4 linked regions of the Elephas maximus indicus genome follow. The protein of the gene in region 2 purifies or fractionates together with the protein of the main gene of each other region. This does not show direct contact. Links are inferred from orthologs where the notes say so. Each region holds a gene or a part of one and is shown on either strand. Other genes may lie near its edges. The genes, in order: PSMF1, PSMA5, PSMG2 and PSMG4.

The links.
Region 1: the proteins of PSMA5 (region 2) and PSMF1 purify together in Homo sapiens (co-immunoprecipitation; 3 studies listed by BioGRID and IntAct, with this or other methods). This does not show direct contact. The link is inferred for Elephas maximus indicus from reciprocal best matches to the Homo sapiens genes PSMA5 and PSMF1.
Region 3: the proteins of PSMA5 (region 2) and PSMG2 purify together in Homo sapiens (affinity purification with mass spectrometry; 4 studies listed by BioGRID and IntAct, counting the BioPlex papers as one, with this or other methods). This does not show direct contact. The link is inferred for Elephas maximus indicus from reciprocal best matches to the Homo sapiens genes PSMA5 and PSMG2.
Region 4: the proteins of PSMA5 (region 2) and PSMG4 purify together in Homo sapiens (co-immunoprecipitation; 3 studies listed by BioGRID and IntAct, with this or other methods). This does not show direct contact. The link is inferred for Elephas maximus indicus from reciprocal best matches to the Homo sapiens genes PSMA5 and PSMG4.

What each region holds. Positions count from the first base shown.
Region 1 is NC_064843.1:39,188,556-39,195,627, reverse strand, and holds the start of PSMF1 (proteasome inhibitor PI31 subunit), read right to left. Parts: upstream 3,012-7,072; 5' UTR 2,862-3,011; coding exon 2,733-2,861; intron 1-2,732. UniProt on the Homo sapiens protein: Plays an important role in control of proteasome function. Inhibits the hydrolysis of protein and peptide substrates by the 20S proteasome. Also inhibits the activation of the proteasome by the proteasome regulatory proteins PA700 and PA28.
Region 2 is NC_064821.1:172,144,482-172,152,097, reverse strand, and holds the start of PSMA5 (proteasome subunit alpha type-5), read right to left. Parts: upstream 3,011-7,616; 5' UTR 2,884-3,010; coding exon 2,855-2,883; intron 1-2,854. UniProt on the Homo sapiens protein: Component of the 20S core proteasome complex involved in the proteolytic degradation of most intracellular proteins. This complex plays numerous essential roles within the cell by associating with different regulatory particles.
Region 3 is NC_064829.1:9,170,361-9,177,228, forward strand, and holds the start of PSMG2 (proteasome assembly chaperone 2), read right to left. Parts: upstream 3,016-6,868; 5' UTR 2,658-3,015; coding exon 2,601-2,657; intron 129-2,600; coding exon 1-128. Other genes in the region: CEP76 (centrosomal protein of 76 kDa), read left to right, coding at 3,230-3,292, 4,659-4,814, 6,487-6,568. UniProt on the Homo sapiens protein: Chaperone protein which promotes assembly of the 20S proteasome as part of a heterodimer with PSMG1.
Region 4 is NC_064819.1:44,001,326-44,009,066, forward strand, and holds the start of PSMG4 (proteasome assembly chaperone 4), read left to right. Parts: upstream 1-4,732; 5' UTR 4,733-4,803; coding exon 4,804-4,977; intron 4,978-7,741. UniProt on the Homo sapiens protein: Chaperone protein which promotes assembly of the 20S proteasome.

The sequences.
Region 1 (7,072 bases), on a different chromosome or scaffold from region 2:
GGATCTATCTGTGTACCGTTGTAGGTAAAGGTAAAATATATAATTTACAGACAAGTTCAGAAAAATCAAGGTTGACAGCCTAGCATCATCTGTATAAAACAACAAACACAGAACAGACTACGTATTTTTTTCAGGGATGGACATTTATATAGCTAGACACGGAGCAGCGGACCTGGGGAGACCTGTGTCCATGTACGGGTGTCCATGGGCGGGGGGTAGAGTGGCATCAGAGATAAAGGACGAAGGGAAAAGCCAAGGGCCAGCAAAGCCAGGCCTTATGCCACAGGCCAAGGGCCACGGGAGGGCAGGAAACGCGAACTTCGAGTTTCTCCTCTTGGGCACCCCTGGTGCTCAGGGACTCACTGCGCGAAGCATTAGGCAGTCACAGCCGGCAGGGTTTAAAATCTGGCTGGACGACAAGGAAACTCGCAGGCCTGAGGTACAGAAATGAGAGCCACAAAACCAAAGGGAAACTTACCAAACCCCTCAGCGAAGGGAGAAAGTCGACACCCGCCCCACCCCCTCAGCAGACTTCCTGTAACATGTTCGTTGTTGTCAGTTGCGGTGGTGTCGATTCCGACTCAGAGCGACCCTACAGGACAGAGCAGAATTGCCCCATAGGGTTTCCAAGGAGTGGCTGGTAGATTTGAACTGCCGACCTTTTGGTTAGCATCCAAGCTCTTAATTACTGTGCCACCAGGGCCCCGGTAACATGTTTACTGTTGGAGATTCAGGGTTTACTCTGGGACCCAGAAATTTAATAACATGGTTTGTCTTTGTTCTGTCGAGGGCCCTTTGGTTTATATTACATCTTCACACGTACATCACTCAATCCACCAGAACTCTCTCTTGAAATATAGATAATTTGGTCTGCTCACCACCCCATCACCTCTGGCTTCCAGAGGAAGAGATAATCCTGAGGCTGGGAGAGGCTGATAACCTCTCACTACACTGGAACCCATGTTCCGGCCTGGGCTGCCCCAACACGGGGAAACAGGTGCAACTGAGAGGGAATGGCTCTGGAGATATCTAGCCAAACACAGCATTTAACCACCCTCTAGGCCCTGACATCAAATATCAGACCTCCCAGAATGCGAAGGTTGGAAAGTAGCCAAAGTGCATGGTCATGTAGTTTAACTCCCTGGGATGAAAAATCTAAGGCTGAGAATTGTCCAAGGTCACAGCAAGTGAGGTGCATCTGGCTTTGGAATTCAGAGCTTCTGGCTGACTAGGCTAAGTCTGGAGGGGAGCTATTCCCTGCCAGGTCCACCAGGCTGGCCCAAAGAGAGTAACGGTAGTGTCCCCTTTGGCAAAATCCTGGGGGCTGGAACCAGTTATCAGTGGCAATGGGTTCAGTCCAGCGCCTCCGGGCCGAATGCACCCAAAGCAATGCACATGGAGGCATTTTCCCTCTTTCATCATAATCTTTACATTCCCATAACAGAAAATAAAATTCCCTAATTTAAGTCTATAAATCTCTATCCCCTGCCACTTAAACCACTTGACACTGCTAATAAAGCTCTTATGAGGTGCTGACTTCAAGTGAGAAATTCCAATACTGGACTTTTGTTGAAGCAATGGCTGCGCTGCTCTACTAATTAAGTTTTGTGTACACAACTTGTACCAGAGTAGACAAAACCAAACAAAAAAGTAGACCACTTAGCTTTCTATTTAATTATCAAGAAATGATACAGTCACACACACTCTCTCAGGACCTTCCCCTCTCTTATCGCCCCCACAAGGGTGGGGAGCAGGAGGTATCTGAAGAGGGAACACAAACATGCTCTGAGCTTGGCAAACACTGGCCCTCTGAGCAGTCTGCTGGCCCCAACCCAGAAAATTAAACCCCCTCTTAAATAAACTAACAGAGAAGACGCCTCTCCAAGTAACTTCTACTGTGAATGAAAGCAGACTCAGCAGAAGTCCGTAGAGGACAAGTGTAACCTGAGCCTCCATGCCACTTAAGAAGAAAAAGTAGATACCATCCCACGAGACGGAGCGGAGCAAAAATACACTAGAGTCGGTATGCAATCCAAACACCCATCTCCCAGAGGACAGGCAGACTTAGCGCTGGGGTGGGCAGAGGGTCAGTGGGCAACAAGAGTGGCCGGCCCTGTAGGACAGCTCTGGGGAGGGAACATTACCTGGCCCTCACACCCACGGTGTATGTGTGCACTCAGCGGTGAGGTCTGAACTAGGCCGTTCAGTGAAGAGCAGGGGAGCTCCCCGGACCCACGCTGAGGAATGAAGACGAGATTCTGGGCTGGGGCTGTGTTAAGGTCAAAGCTCTGATCTCCATACCCGTGCGCGGATCTGGGTGTCTGTTGGAGGCTCGAGAACAGTATGAGGGTGTATGTGTGCAGATTCTGCTCCCCTAAGCTTGTATGGTAAGAAGCTGGGCGAAGTTCAGGTAGGTGAGCTGTGCTCAGGGAGCAACAGCCAGTCCCGGTGCCAGGTCCACACAACCGTGGCCTGGGGAGACTGCCAGGCTGTGCTGATGGGAGCTTCTGTCCTTGAGTTTACAAAGCATGTTGTGCCAGCTGTGCTGTGAGGTGCTCCGGCGTGGGCTGGGGCAGGTGGGCACTTCCGTGAACCGCAGGCTATGCCAACGGTGTCCTGAGCCCCAGGCCTCGGACTTGAGGGCGGGGACAGCAGGCGCTCTGGACCGGCCTCCGGTCCTCTGGGTCTGAGAAGAAGACAGCACCTCCCTCCCCCCAGGCTCCGCATCGTACCTGGTCGCCGGCACCCAGGCCGTAGTAGCCGTGCGTCACCACTTCCCAGTGCAGGAAGCAGACGAGCGCGTCCTGCGCGCAGGTGATGGCCGGCGCCGCCGACGCGAACAGCACCTCCAAGCCCGCCATGGTTGCCCGCAGCTTCTGCGGGCGGGAGAAAGAAGGGCGAGAGTGTGGTGAGCCGGAGCAGCACTCCGAAAACAGACGACTCCACACTTCTCTGCTCCGCTCGCTCTAGCTCAATCTCCACCTACGGCCAAAATGGAGCTGTCCGGGGAAGGGGCGGGGCCGTCGGAAGTACGTCGTCGCGCGGGCGCCCTTGCGCGGTCCCGGCTGGAAACTAGAGCGCCACGCTTTAAGGTTCCTCCGGCGACCTCCGGACTGGGCTGGCGGCTGGAGGCGCGGCCCTTCAAAACTGGAATCCCCATCTCGCCCGCAGCGGACTGGATCGTTACTCTCAGGGCGTTGGGTCCGTGTGATGAGAATCCTTTACAAAGAGCCACAGACTTTTCATCCGCAAAAGGGAGAAACTGACAAAAAAAACAAACCTGTTGCCGACGAGTTGACTGATAGCGACTCATAGGACAGAGTAGAATTACCTCGTAGGGTTTCTCCAAGGAGCGTTGCGGCCGGTGGGTTAACTGCCGACCTTTTGGTTAGCAGCCGAGCTGTTAATCAATGAGGTAAGGAAATATGCCTAAAATATAGTCATGATAATAGTTGACAGTTAAGAAGTGCTTGCTGCGTGCCGTATTCTAAATGCCTCACTTGTGTTCATTTATTTAATCTTTATGACCCAAGCCTACGATATTGGTGTTAGTGATACCCACGGAGCGGTGATTTGACTAGGGTGACACGGCCCTTCAGTGAGTGGGAGAGACAGCAGTCTGGCTCCTAGGATAGCGTTTAGTAAGCGTATGTTGTGTGCTAGATCCTGTGCCAAAAACCTTTACGTCATCCTCTCAACAACTCTATGAGATATGTTCCATTATTGTCCCCGTTTTGCAGATGACAAAACTACTCAAAGATTTGAAGCCCCTTCCCCCAAAGAGCACAACTGCTGACCTCTATCCTGATCCACTACCTGCTGCTACTACTACCTGTCCTATGACTACGCTGGAGTCATACCTACTCATGGCGACCCCATGTGTTACACTGTAGAACTGCTTCTTAGAGTTTTCTTGGCTGTAACCTTTACGGAAGCAGACCGCCAAACCTTTCTTTCCCAGCCGCGCTGAGTAGGTTCCAACAGCCAGCCTTTCAGTTAGCAGTCGAGCTAGCAGTTTATACCACCCAGGGACCTTTGATTCACTACCGGAGCTTCTCAAATTTCAATCATTTCTCTACCACCTTCATGATTTTCACCACCATTATTTACTCAATAATTTTCTTGAAATCCTCTTACAGTTTTTATTAAAATAAATTTAGATTTCCCTTCCAGTCAGCACCCTGGTCTAAGCCACCATCATCTCTCACTGGATGACTGCATCAGCCTCTGAAGTGCCCTCCTCCATCCCTGACCCCCTACAGTCTGTTATCTTCTCCACAGCCTGAAAGAGTCTGTTAGAACTCAAGATCATGTCCCCTCTCTGCTCAAAAGCCTCTCAAAGTTCCATAACATTCAAAGGAAAAGTAAAGACCTCCTCATGGTCTGCAGGGACCTACGTATGGTCTGCTCCCAGCCACTTCCCTCTTGGACCTCATCTCCTTCAACTATCTCCTCAACCCCTGCGCTCCTGGCTGCAATAGCCTTGCCTCCCTTCCCTTCTGTCACACCCACATCTGATCTAACAGCGAAGCAAGTCATCTCTACCCTCAAAATATATTCTGAGTCTGGCCACTTCCCACCAACTCCACTGCCTCCACCCTGGTCTGATTCTCCAGCATTTCACACCTGGACTGTTGCAGTAGCTTCCTACTGTGTATGTTCTTCCACATGTTTAGTTCTCTAGGCCTTTGCATGTACTGCTCTCTCTGTCTGCACTGCTTTTCCCCCAAACATCTGCATGATTTGCTTCTTCATTTAAATGACTCCTTCCCTCACCCACCAGCCTCAGACATCTTCTCTGACCACCTCATTGAAAATAACTTCCTCTACTCTTTAACCCCTTACCTTGTTTTCTTTTCTGCAAAGTATTAATCATAACCTGACACTATTAGGTATTCATTTATTTGCTTGCTTATTTAGTGACTGTCTTCCCACTAGACCATGACAAGGGAGCAGGAACCATGTTTGTCTTGTTCACAGCTGTACTTGAGGGTCTTCTGGGCTCAATACGGCTCAATACATGCTTATTAAATGAATGAGTGGATAATGAATGAATGAATTCATATCCTGAGCTCAACCAAATCAGGCCAGTCTCACCCTTTCACAGTCCACCAATCAGCTGGCCCTGTGCCTCTCCAAACTTTATGTTCCTGAGATTACCCTGGGATGCCCAGGTTCTCAAACCCCATCTGCAAAGATTCTGGCCAAGCAGCTCTGAGGTGGGGTGCAGGTATGTTGACCACACTCTGGGTGATGCTGAGGGTGGTGTCCCAGAACCTCTCCCTGATACGTACTATCTGTGGCATAAAGCTATCTGCTCTTTCCACCAAGAAGCCCTGCACTCTCAGGCTTCCCTGTTTTTGCGCACTCCCTTCTGCCTGCAGTGTCCTTCCCCAGAAACGGCAAATTCCCACAGATTCGTTCATTCATTAAGTCAACAAGCCTCCAGAGGCTGGGTTGCCATGGACAGTGGTGCAGGCTATATACTGCAAAAAATGTACACACCCAGTGGCAGCCCTGTTCCTGAGTGCCTACTGGGAGCCAGGTCAAGATGAACAAGACAGAGTCCCTGCTCCTATGGAGCTGACGATCTAGTGGTAAGAAATGACGAAGGTAGCTAGCGTGACAACTGCCTTGACAGATGGGCACACAGGGGTCTGTGCAAGCCCAGAGGAGAGATCTAACTTCTGGGGATGAGGAATGGGCTTCTTGGAGGAAGAGATGCCTGGCTTCCTTGAACCTTTGGCCTAACAACAACAAAAAGCAGACCTACGTTTGGTCAGTTTTATTACTGCTTTTACGTGTTTTACTGACAATGCTCCCCTTCATTGCCTGCTCTGGGAGTAAACTGAAGAACAAAAGGTGTTCTAGTAAGAGAGAATAGCATATGCAAAGGCCTAGAGTTGTGAAATGCAGCTAGAATGGTGAGATTAGAGGTCAGTGCTGCCTCCTAGTGAGGCCTTCCCTTACCTTCTCTGCCTACTACGAATTACTGGCTGAGTACACTTTGCCTCGGGGTGGGTGCTAAGGGGCGGGCAGAGGTCAGTGAGAGTTATCTGCCTCAGTGAGGAGGAGAATTTAATCACAAAAAATTGTTTAGAATTGCTGGCCCAGGGTGATAATAACAAGTAGACCGTTTGGTCAGCTTTATTACTGCTTTTAAGTTTTTTACAGACAAAGCTCCCTCTCATTGCCTGCAGTGGGCAGACAGCCCCCCAAACCCCATCCCTGGGACCACTGCTGCTTTGCATATAATTGGTTGGGGCAGGCACCTCACAGAACTTTGGTTCCCTATTATACATCATTATCCCTGTCTTAGTTTGGATTCCCTCAGAAGCCAATGCTGAGACAGGATTTGAGTGCAAGTGGCTTATTGGGAACAGATTTCTGGAAATAGCAATAGGGGAGTAGGGAAGTGAGATAAGGAAAGAAGGCAACCAATGAAAAAAAAATAGAGGGTATTAATCAAGCCACTTACCATTATGGGCAACTAAAGCTCAGTCCTGCTGGGGAACTCTGGGAGGCAGTATGGAACAGTCTCAGAAGTATCCGAACTGAGGGTGAGGAAACTGGGGTGTGTTTTCACTCCCTTCCTGTCTGCCCCCAGTTGAGGACTGCTTCTGGGAGCAGAGAAATCCCTCAGGTAGAGAGTTGGAGAGTTTACAGAAAGCGGCCATTGGTGCTTAGAGGTGAATACTGAAGGATGAGCGGGGCACACGGTGTCTGGTGTGCCCCCGCTAAGGATAAGCCATTCCTTAGCCTAGTCTGTGACCCAGCAGCCATTCTGGAGTAGCATTAGCACCTGTGTATTGAGAGAATGAGGTAAGCTCTGTCTCATGCGCTAGGCTGTGAGTCCTCTGAGGGTCAGGACTGTGTTCCCTCCACCCTGGATCCCAAGGTCCTCTAGGGATAGGAGCAAATGGGGGGCTCCCCTGGTGCTGGAGGTTGTCTGTGTTTTGCCCCTGGTCCACCCAGCACTTTCTGTGGACTTACCTCCCTCAGCAAGAGTCTCAGTTGGCCCTGTTGGGTTTGCAAGTGGTTGAGAAGGGAAGCAGGTGGAAGGTGCCTCCCC
Region 2 (7,616 bases):
ATCACATTAAGGATAGGGTTGCACAGCTGATTACTGTAATTGCTGTCGATAGTTGTACTATACCTATAAAAAGTTATATTGGCAAAAGTTGTGTGGCAGTCGTATTTATTACAACAACCAAAAAAAAAAAAAAAAGGGCAGCTGCTGAGGCTGCTTATGTACAACCAAAATCTTCATGGGATTTGGTTTCTTGGTTTGGAGGTTTAGGGTCATGCTTTCATAGGACATCACAGTTAACTGGCATAATAACTCCTTTCGTGCTTCTGTTCTACCTCCTAGTTCTTTGTATAGTGCCTGGGGTCTTAAAAGCTTGCAAGCAGTCATTCAAGGAACAACAATTAGTCTCTATTTCCCTGGGGCAACAGAGGAAGAATTCTTCAGGAACAGAAGGAGGATATGGAATGTGTGGCTAATTGCCTCCATTAACAACTGCCTCCTTGCCATGAGACCAGACAACTGGATGGTGCCTGGCTACCATTACTGAACATTCTGATCAAAGATTCTACAGAAGAATCCTGATCCAGAGGGGGAAAACGCAGAACAGAATTTCAAGTTCTCATGGAACTTGAGAACTTGATTTCCTGGGTTCACAAAGGTTAGATGAACCCCTGAAACTACTACCCTAATCTTTAAACCATAAACCAAAAAACATCCCCAGAAGTCTTCTCAAAACCAACAATAATTTAGCTTAACTAGGAAAATGCCTGCCTTGAGCATTATGTTTCTTAAGAACTACCTATAGGGGATCAAATTAACAACAGTAGCTTGAAAGATCAGATAGGAACCTTACAGGGCAGTGAATTTATATTAATGGGGGAGGAACAACTCAGAAAAGGAGAATGAGAATGATTGCACAACTTGCAGAATATAATCAGTGTTGCTAAATGGTACATGTAGAAACTGTTGAATTGGTGTACGTTCTGCTGTATATATTCTCAACAAAATAAAATTGAAAAAAAAATTAATGGCACACAGTTGCCTACAGACTAAGACTCAAACTCCTTAAGCTCATATTAAAAACCTTCCAATATCTAGCACCATCCTCTTTTCCCCATATCTCCTGCTATTCCCATACACGTCTCATATGTGCCAATCAGACTGGGCTTTTCCCAGATGAGCACTGTGCTTTCCCGCTGCCACTCCTATGTTTATCCCATCTCTGCCTGAAAACTATTTACTCATTAAAATCCTACTCTTTCTCAAGACCCAGTTTAACTATGAGCTCCTTTGGGAAGTCTTCCAAGATTCCCTAATATTGAATGGAATCTCTCATGGAAACACCTATAGTGTTGATCTGAGTTTCTCTTATGATGTTAATATGTTTGTCTCATACTACCGTTACTTTTGTAAACAGCTCTTTAAGAGACAGTCTCTTGTATGAGGAAAGCTTAGCGGCATAGTGGTTAAGTTCTATGGCTGCTAACTAAAAGGTTGGCAGTTCAAATCCACCAGGCGCTCCTTGGAAACTCTATGGGGCAATTCTACCCTGTCCTATAGGGTCGCTATGAGTCGGGATCAACTCAACAGCAGCAAGTTTCTTTTGTATGAGGGCAAGGATCTTGATTTTGTTCACTAGGGTATGACCAGCACCTGGTTCATGTCTTGTACACAGCAAGCACCCAAATACATTAGCTAAGTGAATAAGGGCTGTATCTTAGGCGTTCTTGGGAAGACACGAAGATGAGTAACACAAAACAAATGATCACAAAACCTTAATAAAGTGTTTCTGATAAGGATAACAATTTTCATCAAGTACGCACACTAACTCAAAATTACATCACCCAAAGATGATTCTCTTGAAAGCTCTGGAAGCTAAATTTGACTAAGTCATTTTGTACAACAGTTGTAAGAAAAGATGTCAGTTTTTAAACTTCACAAACATCTTTCATGAGTCAGATGATAAAACTTTGACAGGGCAACTGTATACCTGACAAAAAATACAACTTGTCAAGCAACCTAGCACAAAGAAAACACCTGGCTTTTTTGAAACTTAATAGCTGTGTGAAAACTGATCAAAACAGAAACTGAAAGTAAAAATGTCTACAGCATGAGCATGTACAATTTAAAATTACTCAATATCCCCAAATCCTTTTTTTTTTTTAATAAACACAACAATCTCACAATCTTGACTTTAGAAAGCATTAGACTGGTCTTCAAAAACACACTAAAATTTACTTGCTTTGAAACTGAAAAAGTAAAAAAAAAAGTCTAGGTCAAATGAAATCAGCATGATGAGAAAGCTCTCGAGAAGCACCCTAAATTCTCGTTCCTATAAGATCAGACTCAGTCATTTCACACATCTGGGCACAGCTGAGAATGCCTTTGCTCTTTTGAAGGAACCATACATCCCAGCATGCTCTATTCCCAAGATTAAGGAATGGAAAACGAAGTTGTTCTCAGATAAGAGGGGAACTAAAATTATCAAATCCATTTGATAATCTTCAGTTGCTTTTTCTTCCAGGCAGCAAATTTTTTAAAAAATGTTTAAAGGCAGTCAAAACTCTGCACGAGAAAGATGAACTGAGAGGGGAGTGACCCCCGGCCTTCTCCGGGTGAAAGGTCGGAATCCCGATCCCTCTGCCTTCTTCCCTAAGCACAAACCGGAGCTTCTCGCTTCCGCACAGATAGGACCCCAGCAGTGACTCAGCGGTAGGACACGTGCGGCCAACTCGCCCAAGCCCGGCTCTAGGGGAACACGGGGGACACGGGGGACGGTGGGGAGGGCAAGAAATCCCCCGGCCGGGCCAGACTCGGTTCCTGGGGGCGCCCCATGACATGGCAGAACCCAGGCCAAGGCTGGGCCCCAGGCCTGCCCACCCTTAACCCCGACCCAGCCTCCCCCCGCCGCACGGACCTGTCGTACTCAGACCGGGTGAGGAACATGGCGAGGGCAGGAGAAGGCGGCAGTGGCTACTTGGAGATTCTAAGGACCAACACGACTCCACCAGCACCCAAATCACCCACACACGCCCCAGGACTAAGGGCCCTGCTCCCAACTGCGCGTGCGTCCGCGACCCCTTCAGCCCGCCTTCTTCTGCCTGTCTCCTATTGGCTGGTCGCAGTTCTCGCCGAGGTGATTGGGCCAACGTGCTTCCCCGCTAGGTTTCAGTTGGTCCAGGGAAGGCGGGACAAGGGTCACCCTTCCGGTTTCAATGGCTGCTGGTTGCTAGGGGCGCTTGGAACCTGAGTCGCGAGGGAGAGCTCGCCTTTTAGGGAAGGTGTGAACCCCCTCCCCCCTCAAGAGTGGCAACGCAGGAACCTTATACAGAGACTTCGGTTGTCTGAACGCTGGTGTGATAGGTTCTTCGCCGGATCCCGTAATCCAAACCAGTGCACACTGGTCTCTTTTCAAACTGCATGCTCACTACCTCCTCACCTCTTCGAGCTCTGGCGCGGTCTCTGTCCTCAGTGCTGCGACGAGGGCCCCAGGACTCGACTTGCGCAGTGATGGGGTGCACTAAAGTAGGTCTCAGCGGGCGCCGTAGGCGAGCCCATTCGCTTTAGCCAACCCTTACCCTGGCTTGTTTGAGAAAAGTTGGTAGGTTTTGGTCTGTAAGAAAATCTTCAAGTTTCCGCATAATTAAGGTAATTTTTCCAGCCTTTCCTTAGACCTCCACCCCAGTACAGGTTTCACACATTTCAACCCAGAGCTCTAAATTCGAGACTCAGATTGCGCACTGCTTTTTCTGTTATTTCCGAAGAATTGGCTGACAATGCCTTCTTGCTTGCCTTCTCTTGGGGTGAAAGAGCAATTTGACAGCTTCATAAAAACACTGTAAATGAATTGTTTTTTCAAGAAAGATAGTTAAGTCATTTAACAGGCAGTATATGACTGAAGGAGCCCAAGTAGCTCAGTGATTAAGAGCTCAGCCACTAAACAAAAGGTTGGCAGTTCCAATCCACCAGCCGCTCCTTGGTAAGCCCTATCCGGCAGTTCTACGTTGCCTGTAGGGTGGACGGCAAGAGGTTTGGTGTTTTCTTTTTTGGTTTTATAAGACTGAAGGAGAAATGCCAGGGTTCCACTTCCAGCTATTAACATGATACCACTGGTCAAGTGCTTAACCTTTCCCAGCCTGTATCTGTCAAATAAAGATTACACTTGGCCCTAGGTTAGGTTTGTAGCTCACCAAGGCATTTCAGTAGTGGGGAAAATGTACAGATATGCCTTTTGGGTATTAATATCTGTTTTTCTCATTCATTTCCTCGCTTCCTTCATGAATTCAGTAGAAATTTAGTTTTGTGGGCCCAAGCCAATCAGATGTGTGGCACTAATTAGACTAAACAGAAATTCCAACCAGCAGTCCTTAGGGATCTGTTACATTTCTGAGAAAAAAGAACAGTATTATTTATCTTTCTTATCTGCTAATGTGGCTGCTTGATTATCTAGTGTTGCTATAATAGAAATACCACAAGTGGATGGATTCAACAAACAGAAATTTATTCTCTCACAGTCTAGGAGGTTAGAAGTCCATTCAGTACATCAGTGAAGGCTTTCTCTCTCTGTTGGCTCTGGAGGAAGGTCCTTATCATCCCCTTGGTTGAGGAGCTTCTCAGGCCCAGGGACACCGGGTCCCAAGGACACGTTCTGCTCCCAGTGCTGCTTCCTTGATGGTATGAGTTCCCACCATATCTCTGCTTGCTTCTCTTTTATATCTCAAAAGAGATTGGCTTAAGACACTATCTAATCTTGAAGATTTCATCAATGTAACTGCTGCTAATCCATTAACATCATAGTGATAAGATTTACAACACAGGGAAATCACATCAGATCACAAAATGGTAGGCAATCATGCAATACTGGGAATCACGACCTCGCCAAGTTGACAGACATTTTTGGGGGACACAATTCAATCCATGACAGTGGCCATAAACGTTGGTCATAAATTCACAGCACTTGCTCTTTACAAGCATTTTTGAAATGACTGTATACATACTTGGAAACCCTGGTGGCGTAGTGGGTAAGTGCTACGGCTGCTAACCAAAGGGTCGGCAGTTTGAATCCACCAGGCGCTTCTTGGAAACTCTATGGGGCTGTTCTACTCTGTCCTATAGGGTCGCTATGAGTCAGAATCAACTCGACGGCACTGGGTTTGGGGTGGGTATACATACTTAAACATAATATTTCCTGAACATGGAGGGATGTAAGATGCTCTACAGCTCCTACTAATATCAGGTAAGGTAGTGAATTGTATCACAGGATGTACTTCAGTGTGGAAACTCTTCTGGGTAAGTGTGTTTGTGCTCTATATAAAGTTCAGGGTAGCCACAGGTAGCTGGGTATGGGTAAGAAAGGAAATTTTGTTTTCTTTCTAGAGAGTGGATGTGATGTCATAAAAATCTAGCACCTAGCATAAAGTTTTGACCATGAATGCTCGATAAATAATTGTTTCATTAAAAGTTGGACCAGATGTTCCTCTGAGAAAAATAATAGAGGAGCCATAAAACCGACCTTTGCCGTTGAATCGATTCTGACTCCTAGCAACCGTGTAGGACAGAGTAGAACTGCCCCATGGTTTCCAAGGAGTGCCTGGTAGAATCGAACCTTCTGGTTAGCAGCCATAGTGCTTAACCGCTATGCCACAAGGGTTTCCAGGGGAGCCATTGAAGACAGAAATGAAAGAATATAGTAAAAACACGAGAGAATGATCTAGACTCAGAAACTGACAAAGGTAACATAAACATCTTGGAGAGCTAGACACATGGATCCTGGAGCAAAATGAACTGTGGCAGAATGATCAGGGCAGACTGGAGACACTGTCCAACTAAAGGAACCAGTAAGAATTCATCCCCAAACTAGATCCTTTATGTACTTGTAATTGTCTAACTTATAAATATTTCTGATTGTATATAAACTAGAAATTATACTTTTCCAAAAAGGTGTCTGAAAATGTGTGTTAATGTCCTGATGACTTCTTATAAAGAGAGAGACAGAAGAAAAGGTTCAGGTGATGTTCCTAAGACTAACCATGAAAGAGAGCACCTAGAACTTTAGGTGGTAGCAGCAAAAGCAGGGAGTTGGCAACTTGATGCTGTAGACACTACCTAAAAAAAAAAGTAATTTTAAAAACCTTGTGGTGTCTCTTTGAAATAAATGAGATAAGAAATCAGTTATGTAAAAGTGAAGTAATTGAAATGTAAGCTCTTTGAGGACCAGTACTGTGTCTTATTCAGCCTACCACCTGGCATATAGTAGATGCTCTAGAAATATTTGTTTAGCAAATGAACAAGTATTTATTTGTTATAATTACACGTAAGGCAAGGATAGGGAGGATTTACAACACGAACCTTCCATGTCCCAAAAAGGCATGTACTACCCTCCCAAGTGCATCCAATGTATTTCACCAGCCAGGAAGCCAGCAATTATTTATTACTCTAGAAGTGTACTAGTCATGTAGAGATTAACATATGTGTGAATTGGTGAATGAGCAAAGAATCCAGTATTTCAGATTGCCACTCTTAATTTTTAAAACTAGTATTTTTCTCTCTTTCCTTTTTTTAAAAAATAAAACAGACAAAATTTTGTGGTTCACAACCTTTTTAGGCAAAATACTGAGAGATGAGAAAGATCTTTGCTCCCTGGAGAAATGTCATTTAGGCATTAATGAGAGTTCTACATCCAAATACAGAACTAGAATGCTTAGATATTTTGCTTATTTGCTTTTTTCCTGCAAATTCACAGAGGAAGGAAAATCATCTAATTGAAAGCTGCCATAATTATTTTAGAGATGAAACACAGATGTCTAAACTATATTGTAATAAAACATGATAGTTTTCCAACTGTAGAGTAGAAGCCTTGCCACTCCACTAGAAGTAAATGAAACAGTTTGGTAAAGTTAATAGTACAATAAATATTGAAAACACTCAGATGTGTTAACAAATACATAGGATCACTTTATGTCAGACATTCCTGGGTAAATGGCAGAAAATACACTTTACGTGAAGAGTTTTCTAAGTGACTTGAAATCAATCTAGGTCCCTTTACTCTTTCTAAATGTTATATCCCCCACATCCATCTGTCCACATTTATCTCTTGTAGCTACAATTTGTTATTTACATAAAAAGATATTTTAGAGTTAGCTATTTCACCCCATGTGTAATTTTTTACCTCAGTCATTTTCTAAGATGTTTTAAAATAGCAAAGGTTTTTAGCTCAAGCATATTGGAAGGTTTAACTAGCTTTGATTCTTGCAAATCTCTCACGAAATAATAATTGAAGAAAGAAAGTAGAATAGAAATTGCCAGGGGTTGAGGGGAGGTAGTAATAGGGAGTTATTGTTTAATGGGTATAGAGTTTTTGTTTGGGATGATAAAAAAGATCTGGAAATAGGTAGTAGTTATGGTTACACAACATACTGAATGTACTTAAAACCACTGAATTATACACTCAAAGAATTGTTCAAATGGTAAATTTATGTAAATTTTATTACAATAAAAAATTTTTTGTAATAAAAACAAACAGCAATATGTTGTTATTGTTAGGTGCCATCGAGTTGGCTCTGACTCCTAGTGACCCTATGTACAGTAGAGTGAAACACTGCCCAGCTGTGCGCCATCCTCAGAATTACTATGCTTGGGCCCATTTTTGCAGCCATCCTGCCAATCCATCTTGTTGAAGG
Region 3 (6,868 bases), on a different chromosome or scaffold from region 2:
GCATATGGATTGTTTCCAACCATGGGCACAAGACAATCGGTATAAAAGTAACCAACCTTAAACATATTCAGCGTGGAAATAATCAGATCTATTGCAAGCTGGCCAACATTTCCAACGGATACTGCTGGCTGAAATCATAAAAGATATATTCGATAAGTCATAAAATGTTAGCAACACTTTTAAAATTTAGACTGAAAATAATAATCATAGTACTAGTACTGAACGCTTATGCTTGGGTATATCACAGCTAAATACTGACTCTTTCATTATCTATAACTGTGATGTCAGCTGAGGCCTCCTCCACCTTTCACACAATTCATTTACCAAATATTTACTGAGCACCTACTATGTGTCAAACGCTGCTCTAGGCATTGGGGATGGAAAAAAAAAAAAATCAGAAAAAAAATTACTGCCCTTGTGGAGCTTCCTTTCTAGTGAGGATGTGGTTTACCCGCAATAAACAAAATAAATAGGTAAAATATATAGTAGTAAGTACTATGGGCAAAAATAAAAGAGAGAAAAGGGATATAACGTGAGTGTATATGTCCCTGTGTGCAGTTGTTTGTAATTTTAAATTGAGTGTCAAAGAAGACTCACTTCAGGTGCAAAGTGACTACTATGGAACTGAAGGAGTAAGGAAGAGAGGCATACAACAACCTGGGAATGAACATCCTAGGAAGTGGGAAAGTTGTGAGGTATGTACAAAAGCAATCTTGGGTCTTCTTGTACCACTTTCTTTGCCCACATCTAAAGGTTAGAGTGACCTTTTCACACTAAACACACACATACTTATCCCCATGACTTCAAACAGCCAACTGAAATCTCTGCCTACAGCTGAGAACACTTACTTGAGCTCTAGCAGCTAATGGATATCTCTACATGGTTATGCCACAGGCACCCCACATTCAACATGTATAAAACTAAACAACTGCCCAAACCTGTCCCCATATTTTGTATTTCAGAAAAGAGCAACACCATTTACCAGATCACCTAAAACAGGAACCTTCTTCCCTTACCAGCTCTATCTAACACATAACTGATTTTCATTGATTCTTTCTCTAAAGTATCTCTTTAATGGAGTTACTTCCAACTATTGCTCTTTACCGGCCTTCATCCTATTTTGCTGGGCCACTCACAGTGGTCTCCCACTGTTCACACCTGTCATCAACCCTGGCAACCTCCAGTAGTTCCGTTTTTCCTCTCCAAGACTTTGTTTCTTTGGTTATACTCTTTCTCCTGTACGTTGAACCTGCCAGCTACCCCGTGGGAGAAAAATGTGGCAGTCTGCTTCCACAAAGACTACAGCCCTGCCTGGTCCTCACATGCCCCTCTATCTCATTTCTGTGTCCCCACAAAGCCAATACCTCTAACCTTTGTCCTCTGAAACATGAGCAGGAATTTTATTGCTGAACGAATACATACAAATCTCCACATCCTCTAACTCATTCCATAAGCTGCAGCATGGGTTTCCTCTCCACTGAGAACTGTTTGCAAAGGTTACCACCCACATCCCACATGTTGCTAAATCCCAAGCGCACACTTCCTCGTCTTACACATTCGCCTACTTGTGACAAACAGGTATTCTCTCCTTCTTTCAACACTCTCCTCTCTGGCTTCATGTGCTTGATATTTAATGAACAAAAGGACGGCTGTTCACTCTTCAGCCATACACCACTTCCAACAGCGCCTTCTGCAAAGGTGTCTCTTGGGCTCACAGGCCTGCAGCCTATTATCTCTCAATGAGTCATTCCCAGTCCAAATCCTCCAGCTCCCCCATGCCGGTGTGTCTCTGGGGTAGACATCCATTTTCCTGAAATGCCCTATTCCTGCCCCCCAGCCCCCAATACCTCACTTTCTGGGCGTTAATTTCTTTAGGAAGCATTTGAAGAAAAAGCCCTGTGCCCACTCCTCCTCCCCACAAGTCTTAGGGCCTGTCAGCAATCTTTTCAAACTTGCACCCCAGCACTCACTGCCCTCGTCCACTGACGCGTTTCCAGGTAGACTACGAACTCCTGTGGACAAGTCTTATCCTAACATTCGTACGTGCCAGAATGTTTACTGAAACACTGCATGAACGTGGCCAACTGCACAAGCGATAAAACCGTGTTAGCTACTGGCAAAAAAGTGACTTTTATTACTACCACTGATTTTAATACTTTTACAGTAAACTCCCATTTGCTTAAATTCAAGCTAGTAAACGACATGGTTTAAGGTTACATTTATGGTTTCTTAACAGAGAGAACCTCTGGAGAACAGCATTACTTTGCTAGCTTAAAACCGACCTAGAAGTAGCTGGGAAGACCTCTGAGGGTACACTTGAGGACGATACCCTGTACAACCCACGCAGCCCAGCAGCTCGTGTCACAGCTAACAGACGGACTACCGACTCGCACAAGCCCACAGGTCCACGAAGGCTCTCGAGAACCGCCGCCTCCCGCGACAGACAGCCTCTGCTGCCCCTTCAGTGAGGGCTGACAACTGCACAGAAACGGCCCCTCTCTCCCCCGACCCTGCGCGGCCCGAGCCCGGGGGATGAAGCCGCCGGCGCCTCCGGAGGCCGTGGCCCTGCGGGGCCGCCGAGAACTCGCCAGAGAACCCACCATCAAGAGGGTGAAGCCCGTGAGCTCGGGCGCCGGGTCCACGCAGGGCACAAACATGGCCGCAACGTGGGGCTGAAGGAAGGGACAGAGCGGGGGCGGCGGCGAAGTCGACCTGCCTGCGGCCCGAGCGGCGGGAACGCGGAGCGGGAACAGCGGGAACGCGCGGAGAAAGGAGCAGACAGGACTCGAACGCGGCCGGGCCGGCGGGGTCCTGCGTCCCCTCGGCGCCAGGTCCTCGGAGGCCTTCCAGTTTAACTGCCTGCGCGGAAGGCGGGAAGAAACTGCGAGGGAACGGGAAACGGAAGGGCAACACGTTCGGAGACCCTGGAAAGGCTCATCGGCTGGTGTGTGGAGGCTGCGGGGGCCCGGGGACACCCGCTCCCGGCCGCTCAGGCGGCGCTGGGGGCACCCCGGGGCTCGCCGCTCCGCTCCCCGGCTCCGCCCCAGACGCCCCGCCCCGCCCCGCCCCGCCCCGCCCCGCCCCGCCCCGCCCCGTCCGGCCTTAGAGCGCGCGCGGGGAGCTGACGCGGTCGTCGTTCGGAGGCGCTGTCGCGGTAGTGGTTCGGCGGAACGCCGGCCGTTGGGACTCCCAGGCCGGGTAGGAGCGGTGGCGAGGCGCGGCCGGCGACATGTCCCTGCCCGCGGAGAAAGCCTCGGAGCTGAAGCAGCTCATCCACCAGCAGCTGAACAAGGTGAGGGCGCGCGGGCTCCTCCGTGCCAGTGTCGGTCCTCGGGGTTCGGGCCGGGCCGTGGGAGCAGAGGTCGGAGCGGCAGAGGTCGGAGCGGGAGAGGTCGGGGGAGCAGAGGTCGGAGCGGCAGAGGTCGGAGGGGCAGAGGTCGGAGCGGCAGAGGTCGGAGGGGCAGAGGTCGGAGGGGCAGAGGTCGGAGGGGCAGAGGTCGGAGGGGCGAGGCTTGGGTTTGCAGCCAGGAGAGCTTTCTGGCCTCGCTGACAGAGACTCGCTGAGGAAGCGGGAGTGCCGGGCTGCGCTGACGGACGGGTCGGGTTCTGGGGGACCGTGGTGAACAGGAAGTGTCCGTCGAGTCGCTGCAGGAAGTCAAACCTGCGCTTGGATCCCGTGTTTATACTCAGACTTGAAAAGTCAGAATCGGTTTAAGGGTGAAACACGAGGGTGCCGTTGAAATTGAGCGGGTAGCTTAAACCAGCAGTTCTCAAAAAGTCATAGAAGAGAAGGCGCTAAAGTCTGTAACAAAAATATTTGTGATGCTTTGGAGCAGGAGAACACGGAATGTTCGGGACACTCAACTGAATGCAATAAGCTGATTTGAAAAAACCGGGCATTTGAAATATTAATAAAAGCTGCCATGTGTTGTGCACTTGTACGCCAGGCTTTGTGCTGGGTGTTGAGCATCTGTCATCGAATCCTGACCACCAACCTGTGAGAGGGCAATACTTTCCTCATGTTATAGACGAGGAAGCAGGTTCAGGAAGGGTAAATAAGTTGGCACGAGGTTACACCTCTAATAAGTTGAAAATAAATTCAAACGTTGATTTATCTACTCCAGGTTCTTTTGATGTTACTGTATTTCTTTTTAAAAGATACATATTTTACTTGAGTCTTGTTTGTGCGGAAAAAGTAACAGATGACCAGTAGAGACTCTAAAAAATTTGTACTGAAAATTTCATCTTTTTTTTTTTTTCTTAAAAACAACGAAACCACTTGCCCTTGTTTTCACTGAATTGTGGTAACAAGTTTACAATTAACTGGAGAAGCCTGAAACCCAAATTTCCTAAGTTTAGTCTCTAACATCCCTGTTATTTTTTTTTTTAATAACATTTTATTGTGTTTTTGGTGAAAGTTTACACAGCAAGTTAGGTTCCCGTTTGACAATTTCCACACAGATTGATCAGTGACGTTAGTTACGGTTTTGAAGTTGTGTCAAGATTCTCCTTAATTTTGTTCTGATTGTTCCCCGTTTTTTTCTTTATTACTTTGATTTAGTATTTTAGAAAGAAACTGGTTAATTGGTAATATTTGGCTGCTTTGATACATGTGCTCTTCAGGAGAAAAAAAATTGTAACGTGAGTTTTCTACGTAGATGGATGTCCACGGCAGAATACGAGAAATCCTTGCTGAGACTATACGTGAAGAACTGGCACCTGATCAACAACAGTTATCAACAGAAGATTTGATCAAAGCCCTTAGACGTAGAGGAATCATTGATGATGTGATGAAGGAACTGAATTTTGTTACTGTGAGTAATGATTTAGGGAAAAAAAGTTGACAGTGTAAGTCTGTTCTCATGCTTGACAATGTTTATAGGGTGCATATTTGGGGCCTCCTTTTAATAAAACCGCTTTAAACCTTTTTGTCTAGTAATACCCTAGTTTCAAGTATTTTTTTTTTTCAAGTATAAGGTAGCTCTACGAATATAGCAAATAGTATTATTTGCTATAATATCAGTGAAATTGGAGGGGATTCCACATTCCTGTCTGTATATTGACAGAATTTTCTCGTTATCCTCCAGGTCTACAATTTTAAATGCACATATTTTAGTCACATTACTTCATCATGTTATTAGGTGCCATCCAGTTGGTTCAGACTCATAACGACCTTATGTATAACAGAATGAAATGCTGGTCCTGTGCCATCCTTATAATCTTTGATATGTTTGAGCCCATTGTTGCAGCCACTGTGTCAGTCCATCTCACTGAAGGTCTTCCTCTTTTTGGCTGACCTTCTGGTCTGCCAAGCATGATGTCCTTCTGCAGGGACTGGTCCCTTCTGATAACATGTCCTAAGCACAGGAGATGAAGTCTTGCCTCCTGGCTTCCAGGGAGCACTCTGGCTGTATTTCTTCCAAGACAGACTTGTTCATTCTTCTGGGAGTCCATGGTATATTTAGTATTCTTTGCCATAACTCAAAGGCATCAGTTCTTCAGTCTTCGGTATTCATTGTCCAGCTTTCACATGCATATGAGCCTGTTGAAAATATCATGGCTTAGGTCAGGTGCATCTTAGTCACCATAGCAGAGTTCTTTTTCATTAAGATTATAGTGTAATTTTTTTTAGATTGACGAGCTTATTTTTAAAATAAATGCATTTTTTGGGGAGTGAATTTTCTATGACTAACAAATTATAAATTTCTTTAAGAAAATAGTGTGACTGCTTAAGAGCCCTCAAATCTTTTCCTACAAATAGGTCAGTAGCAGAGTGATAGCCTCTCAGTACATAATTAGTAAGTAGGCCTTTTGAAAATGAGGCAATAATGAGAAGCTGTGACCTCAATACCTGGATAACCTGATGTAAAAATTGGAATGGATTTTATAATACACGAAGGAATAAAGTGTTTAATACAGCATCCTTTTTTAGTTTTTGAGGTTTAGAAACCTATTTATTATTAAAAAATGACCTAGTAACAGCTTCTGCTGTGTGAATTACACTTCCTTGTAAAAACCTGCTCATGACCATTCATAAACCAAATGTTGTATGAGGTTTAGAAAAAGTTTAGCTTTCTTTAAGTATTAAGGGTTTGTATTTAACACTTCTGTTTGTTTGAAAACAATTTCTTAGTGTTAGATTTTTAGGAGTTACAAATTATATTTTACGTAAAATTTTATTTTCATTGTTTTAATTATGCTAGGAAAATAAAGGATTTCCCTGTGGCATAGTGGTTAAGAGCTCCGGCTACTAACCAGAAGGTCATTGGTTTGAATCCACCAGGTGCTCCTTGGAAACCCCATGGGGCAATTCTACTGTGTCCAGTAGGGTTGCTATGAGTTGGAATCAACTAAATGGCAATGGTTTTTTTTTTTTTAAATCCTAGCTAATTCTGGTTCAGTGCTTATTTCCATTATTGGCATTTTCTTGGCTATGCATAACTTGTTTTCTAATTTGTTCTGATTTTTTTTGTTTTGCCTTTCTAGGACAAGGTTGATCAAGAACTCCCTACCTCTCCAAAACAACCTGCTTGTTTTACTGATAAACAATCAACGTTGTTAAAAAAAAGTATGTGTTTTGTTTTTTGCATTAATTTAGCTACAGATTGTAGTGGATTTGTTGTAGTGTTTGGTATTTAATAGAAAACATTTCAGGTTTTTTTTTCCCCAAAATGAAATAGTTAAGTATTTGTGGTCAGTCAGCCAGAAAAACTTAGATTCTGTCTTGCATGAAGTGTATCAGAAGGTTTAACCCATAGCACGGTGGAAGCAAAAATAGAAACACCTGCTTCATATATTTTATTAACAAATCTTATTAAAAGCTATGCAGCCTTATGTTTTTAATGGTCATGTAATTAGCTGAGAAGTA
Region 4 (7,741 bases), on a different chromosome or scaffold from region 2:
TTTTAAAGAGCTTCAGATATAATATACTACATAATAATTTTGAGATATAATACCATATAGTTAGAATATACCAAGATTATCAAGTCTCTGAATATCTGAATAGTAATAAAAAGACTTCACAGGTCATCAGAGTGAATGCCCTAGTTAAACCATTGGCTTTGATGCTAGATTCAAAAAAATAAAGTTGTGGCCAGGTTACCAATAAAGAAATAATAATAAAATTATGGCATAATATTATGCATTTGCTATCTAATATTAGGCAAAAACATAAGAGGAAATATTAACATATAAATTCTGACCCAAAGAGAATCAGATGTTTCTCTTGATTTTGACTACACATTCCATGTAATTTATTAGCAAAAGCTTTTTAGCACTTTTATAAAAATTTTTTGTGGCTTTCTATGAAGTTTCAGAGTCATCAAGAGTTTATTATAGGTCACCATGAAATAATACTTAGGTTATTTAACCAAAGATCTTAAAGTAAAAACATTATTTAAAAAAAAAAAAATTATTATTATTTTTAAAGTCACGTGGCTTGGTTTTCAACTCAGGAATCTTATTCTAACGAGAAAGCAAACCTCTGTCTTTGAGGCAGATTACACAAAGAATAAATTAACTGTTCAACTCAGAAATCGAAGACAATTTTGTAATTTTAATAGCGAGAAACCCAATTCTTTGTTTTATATGCTATTTAACATTAAAGCTCTTAAAAAATCTCATAAATTAGACCATTAAACTTTAGTCAGATAAAATTTTGGACCATATCAAATAACAAAATTCTTTTTAATAAACCTCTTAAATATTGTCTTTTTTGCATATCTTACAGTACTTTCTTTTAAAATCGCAAAATAAACACATTCATTAGCAGACATATATATAAAAATATATATTTTACATATAATTACATATATCCTTTCTCTCGTGAAATAAAAAACAAAAGTATATAAGCTTTAATTATGACAAATATCTATAAACTCAATTTAACATCAGTAAGTTAACTAAAAGGTCCTAGAAATTATTTTAAGCCTGTATGCCATAAAACACAATTGTTGTTGAAAGAAAGTCTGTTTAAACATTCTAAGTTTTCATTCAACTTTTATTATTTCCCATATTTTCCCAATCTAATTTTAGCCCCTAAAGATTTTATCAACTGGCTTTGGAAATCACAAAGTCTCTGTGATTTCTATTTTTTTTTTTTTTTGGCTTCTTAAAGTTCCCCTACAGTAAAGAGAACTTGTTTACTGTTCTTTTATGATTGGGATCCACCCAATTTCTGATAACTATGGGAACCCTGGTGGTGTAGTGGTTAAGTGCTATGGCTGTTAACCAAAGTGTTGGCAGTTCAAACCCACCGGGACTCCTTGGAAACTGTATGGGACAGTTCTCTGTGCTATAGGGTCAGCATGAATCGGAATCAACTTGATGGCAATGAGTTTGGTTTTCGTTTTTTTATAGTAAGTTTCCTGGAGCTATATGACCTGGGAGACTGGGGACCTGAGGGGCCTGATGTTGCCCCCACCCTCCCTGTTTTTGACTCATGGTAGAAGATAAGATTAGGCCATTCCGATTCATTTACATATGTTTAAATTGATCTAGACATTTTGAAAGGCTGTCTACCCAGTAATACCAAAACTCTTTAGCAATTCTGTAAATGAATTAATCAATTCTTGGCTAGCCATTTTGTCCCCCTAGGCTTGTCCTATGCTTCCTTTTACCCACTCTGAAACTACCAGTTGTACGTTAAGACAAAATTATTCTTTTTCCTTAAATAAAATATGTTGCTTAAGTTACTTAGAAAGGTTTTACCTTTAAGATAGACTTAACCATAAAGTTTTTCAATATAGCTACTAAAAATCTAAATCATAAGACAGACACAAGACAGTTTTTCTTGGATGAGGAAAAGAGCTGAGGTTCTAAGGCAGCCTTACAAAAAAACAGCAATTCTCAGCCATCGCCTCCAACCTGATACAAAACAGAAACTTAGACACAATGCTCTAGACCAAAAGCAAGCTCTCAGAACAGAATGAGAGAGGAAGACCACATGAACTCACTGAATACCACACAAAACAAGGATATGGGCATTCTAGTTTCTTAAAGTGTATATAAATATGAACCCTAAACCACTGTCTCGGAAGCAGGGGACAAATCCTGGCTTATTTATCAAAGATGTTAAGCTCTAAGGTTCAAACTTTTGGTTTCCTTCTTTTTGAACTTAATTCATTCTACTGGCTAGAGACTTAGTCTCTTATTTCAGACCTTAAATATGCTAGTTCCTCCAACTGGAAATTACTTTAAGGTAGCTACTGATGATTTTAACATTGTGATTATTGAGAAACTGTATCATGAAATAGGTACAGAACTATCACTTCACCCTTAAATTTCATAAAACAGATCAGGAGCTACCACTTCTCCCTGTGAATTTCATAACACAGGTCAGGAGCTGCCACCTCCCCTTAAAATTTGGCAAAACAGGGCACTATTTTCCAGGTTTTCTCTGAGCCACAAAAAGAAACCTAATGAGGAAGGCCTCAGGGTTTGGACAGTGTTTAGCTTAGACCAACATGTACCTTTATTATGCGAGAGTTTGCTTGCAGGTGGCAGGCAGCCTAGTGCTCTAGCTTGTGTCACGACCACCTTATCCCCTCATGGGAGTCTTTAAAATTCATGATAAGCACCAGTGACCACCCTAAAGGCTTTTTACTGGTCATACCTGCCAGAATTTTAGTGGCTTATAGTGGCTCAGAGGTCTTTGAAAATAGAATTACCTCTTTAATGTTTCATATACCCAAATCCAGACCTAAACTACAGTTCACCAAGAGTTACTAGATATCACTCTTAAAAGGTCAAGCAAAAATGTAAGAAAGATCCTCCTTAATCAAACAACTGGTTTTAGAAACAAATATGCTAAACAAAACTTAAGAAAACATGAGGAAAAGGAAAAAAAAAAAAAACAAGCAAAAGCTCGTTTTTTGAGAGCACTCACCCCACCACTGTTAAAGGGACATGGAGTGCAAATGCTTGGGTCCAGAAGATAGGGTCTCTCTTTTTGCCGGCTTCTGCTCCACAGTCCAGGTCTCCTCGAGGTTGACTGGATTCATGGTTTTAGAATCCCTGCAGCAATTACACCATTAACTCTTGTAGGGGGAAAACACCACAAAGTTTAATAAAGCAAAAAGAAAGGTTTTATTCAGTATATAAAGGGGCAAAAGTAAGAAAGGGACAAGCATGCTGCCAGAACCATGTCTATTTGAGTCTCTGTTCCCAGTTCTTAAGGATGTATCTTAGCAGGCCGGATTCTGGGACCCCTTGAATGTTCCCCATTCTCTGGATATACATACTTACACACCCACACAACCTAATCTAGTGCACCACTTTAACAGGTACCTGAGCCTTGTTATGCCCTCAGCAGTCAATTCGTCCCGCTTCTTTGGGACTCTTCTAAGGCCTTAGCTAGGAATTATCCTGTTACTTACCAAATAACCTCAGATTTCTAACGCCCTCAATGGTCAATTTCTCCCATTTCTTGGGACTCTTGTAAGGCCACACCTAGGTACTTACCAAATAACCCAGGCACATTTCATGTCTCTCACAAAGCCAAAGATTGGGTCCCAGGGGGAATTGCTTTTCAGAGCTGCTCCAAGGTCTCCAGGAGAAATCTGGTTGAGCCAGACATTGGGGTCAGTCTGTTTTCTGATCCACTTCAGGAACTAAGCAGATGGCTCCTGACTGGCTTGGCAGAAATGTTGCTGGGTGGAAAACCCAGGTTCTTGCTCAGCATGACTCTTATTGGCCAATAAACAAGAGACCAAGGTGGCAGAACAGGAAAGGAACCTACATTTCATTGTACAAGGAAAAAGAGACAGTCCGAGCTGCTGCTACCAGGACTGCCCACCAATTGCAGACAGGCAGTTACTTTTAAAGGTCGTTTACAAGTAGGGAGTTCATACAAATTACATCAGCAACATTCTTAATCATATTACAAAGGCCCAATGGGGTTTACATTTAACCTCCGAGCAAAAGCAGGATTCAAATGCAAAGCTGGGCTGGGGGACACTGGGTGGTAGGAGGAAAGGGAGAGGAGGTGAAGCCCAGCAAAGGAAACGAGAGTTTTCAATACAACACTGTGGGAAAGGAAGCCAGGCAAAGAAAACATGATTTTTAATACAGCACTGTGAAAGCTGGCTCAAAGAAACCGGGTCTTGAGAAAGGTTGAAAGGTTAGGCTAAAGCTCGTGCTTGTCCACGATCCAGTTCAGGGGGAGAAGGGAACTGGACCAAAAACGGTGCCTATACATTCTCCTGACAACTTATTTAATGCAATTGTCCTGGATGCCATTCTTAAGGCTTCCTTCCAGTTACAGGGCTGCTAGGATGAGGATTCGATAAACCAAAGCTAAGCAAAACATATTATGATAGAAAGTAGCTGTTCTTAAAGGAACTTAATTAGAAAGCGATTGTCTCTTAAGGGCGACGTCTCATGACCCCTAAAGACGTTATGGCTGGCTTCAGCAGTTTTTACTCAACCAGCAAGGGATGGGGGGCGTAGAGGGAACAACTGAGAGCAAGTTCTGCTGGAAACCCTGAACATCCGTGAAAGCAAGTGCTCCCAGCAGAGGCCAGACTCGCCCAAGAACAGAAAGCCAGCGGCAGGCCGAGGTAAAGCCCCTGACCCCAGCGGAAGAAGACCGCCAGAGCTTCTGCCCCGGGAAGACCCGCCCACCCGGGAACCCGGAAGTGAAAGGTCGCCCGGCGTCCCCGCCGTCGCGCCTTTCTGGTCGGACCTACGGAGGCGGCGCTCGCGGGAATGGAGGGGCCGCAGGCGGTCACGGGCGGGGACGTGTCCCTGCACAACTTCAGCGCAAGGCTGTGGGAGCAACTCGTCCACTTTCACGTCATGCGGCTGACGGACTCGCTTTTCCTGTGGGTTGGGGCCACGCCGCACTTGCGCAACCTCGCCGTCGCCATGTGCAACCGCTACGTGAGTGCGAGCGGAGGGGCGGGGTCGGGGGGACGAGGGGCCGCTGCGCGCTGGGCGTGGGGAGAGGCGTGGGGTCGTCGGGGGCTGGGCCGGCGGGGATGGGACAGCTGCGCGCTGGGCGGGGGGCGGGGATAGGGCCGGGGAGGCGGGGCCGCTGAGCGCCGGGTGGAGGTGGGGCGTGGATGGGGGTGGGGCCGACGTGGCGGGGCCGCTGCGCGCTGGGCGTGGGGAGGGGTGTGGGGCTGGCGGGGGGACGGGGCTTTGGGCGTGAAGGGTGTGGGGGGGGTGCTGGAAGTAGGGGTGCGGGGCATGGGAGGGTATGCTGGGTGTGGAGAGAAGGGTGGGGTCGTGGGGGGCGGGGCCGGCGGGGGCGGGGCGCAGACAGGGGTAGGAGGACCCTCAGGGGTCTGGTGTCTGGGTGCGCGGGTACCCCTAAATTACTCCTACTACATCTTCTAGGTCCGCGGGGCCCTCGGGGCAGAAAGGCCCTCAGGAACTCTTGTGGTGCAGACTTAGGGAACCCCGGAGCAGACCCCCAGCCCCGTGGGCCATGGAGGCCGGCCGTGCCCCTCCCGGTGAGACAGTGGGAGGCCCTCTACCTTTCTGGCCGTCCCTGTGCTGGTTTCCTCACCTTCCATCCACATCTGTGTAGGTTGTTTGGAATGTCCCAGAGTTTTATCCTGCAATCTTTGGTCTTTTCTGGTCACTCGCTCGCTGGGGATGCTGCCTCTTAGGGCTCATACTATCTATATTTTGATTTAAACTTACATCTCCAGTACAGATCTATTTCCGGGAACTTCGGACTTGTGTGTTTTCACCGGAACATCTAACAGGCATCTCACACCTTCCACATTGAAGACCAGACTCTGGGTATTTCCCCCGAAAACCGGTCCATCCCACAGCCATCCCCCTCTCGGGGTGCTCAGGGTAAAAACCTGGCAGTCGTCCTTCAGCCCTCTTGCTCATACGTTCCATCTTCCAAATGTTGGTGAATTCATAAGCACTGTGGTCAGTCAGAGGTCCCCGGGTGGTGCAAAGTGTTTGTGCTGAACTACTAACCTAAAGGTTGGAAGTTTTAATCCACCCAGTGACGCTGCAGAAGACAGACCTGGTGTTCTGCCTCCATAAAGCTAAGAAAACCCTATGGAGCAGTTCTACTGTGTAACACATTGAGTTGCCATGAGTTGGAATTGACTCCACAGCAGTGGGCTTGGTTGTCAGTCAAAACATCTAGAATCCAACCATCCATCACCTCCTTCACTTCTCCCACCCTGAGCCAAGCCTCCATCATCATGGCTCCATTCCTTGCTTCCACCTTTGCTGCCTCATAGCCAGTTCTCCGCAGGACAGCAGATGGTAGTTTTAAGACTGAAGTCAGATATTTTCACTGCTCTCCTCAGAACCTTTCAAGAGCAAAGGCAGGGTGCAATCCAGAGACTATCTCAAGGCTCTACATGACCTGGCTCCCTGTTGCCCCGCAGCTCTCATCTTCTTCCACACACTCTGACGTCCTTGCTCTTTTGCCATGTCCAGCATGCTCCATTCGCTGTCCCCTCTGCAGTGTGTTGTCTGTCTCCCCGACTAGAATACATGTGCCGGTGACTGTGAGGTTTGCCTGTGTTGGTTTTGTATTCCCAGAGCCTGACACATGGAAGCTGCTCATGAAATACTTGTTGGAAGAGTGAATGAATGAGGCTCCATATCCCTTGGTTGTCCATGGTTTATGGGGGGAGACTACCAGTACCCCAAAGCCAGTGAGGAAGTAGGATTGTAATCTCTGAGGGGTCACGAGGGGCAGTGGGAAATGAGAGGAGTGAGCCTTTCTATCTGCAGGACAGTACCCCTGGACAGGACCCAAGAAAGTTTCCAGAAGGAGACAGCATCTAAATTGGGATACTATATCCCTCTTTTACCCTGGTGGCGTAGTGGTTAAGAGCTATGGCTGCTAACCAGAAGGTTGGCAGTTTGAATCCACCAGGTGCTCCTTGGAAACTATGGGGGCAGTTCTACTCTGTCCTGTAGGGTTGCTATGAGTCAGAATCAGCTCGACAACAACGGGTTGTTTTTCTTTGGTTTTTCCTCTCCTGTGTGTTTTTTTTACCTCTGTTTCTGGTGGGTACTGGCAGGTGGGCCTTTGGGCATGTGGCAATTCCAGGTTTTCTTTTCATTCAAGGAGTCAGTGGGTTTAGGAGGTCTGGGCAGTGATGGGCAGGGTTGTGGATTTGGAGGTGTGGTATCCACCTTACATTTTTTTCTAGTCCTGAGGCTTTAGTAATAAACAGCAGGCGAGGCCATAGGCCATATGAGGCCATCTGGGAGCCCAGGGCCGCAGGACTGTAAGGTCAGATATTGCTTACTCGAACCCAGTTTCAGATTCTTTGTGTCCCTTTGTGCAGTTCTGGTTTGGGGGGCAATAAGTAATGGCTCCTCCTGCTTTGGTGGTCTGATCACTTGGTAGTCATAGCTACCAGTAGTCTGTATTCCCAGCTGGAAGTTTAAAGTCCTCAAGGGTGAGGCGGGAAAACGGACAGGCCTCAGTTAGTAGACCTGTCAGAGGTCCATATCCACTGACTGGTAACATTGCATGCCTGGACATCCATGTGCACGTATCCGTTTGTATCCATGCTTTAAGGTCTTTTGAGTATACACCTAGGAGTAGAATTGCTGGGCCCTGTGGTGATTCTCTGTTTAACTCTTGGAGGAACTGCCAAACTTTTCCACAGTGGCTGCGGTATTTTATAGTTCCACCCGCAGTGCACAGGGG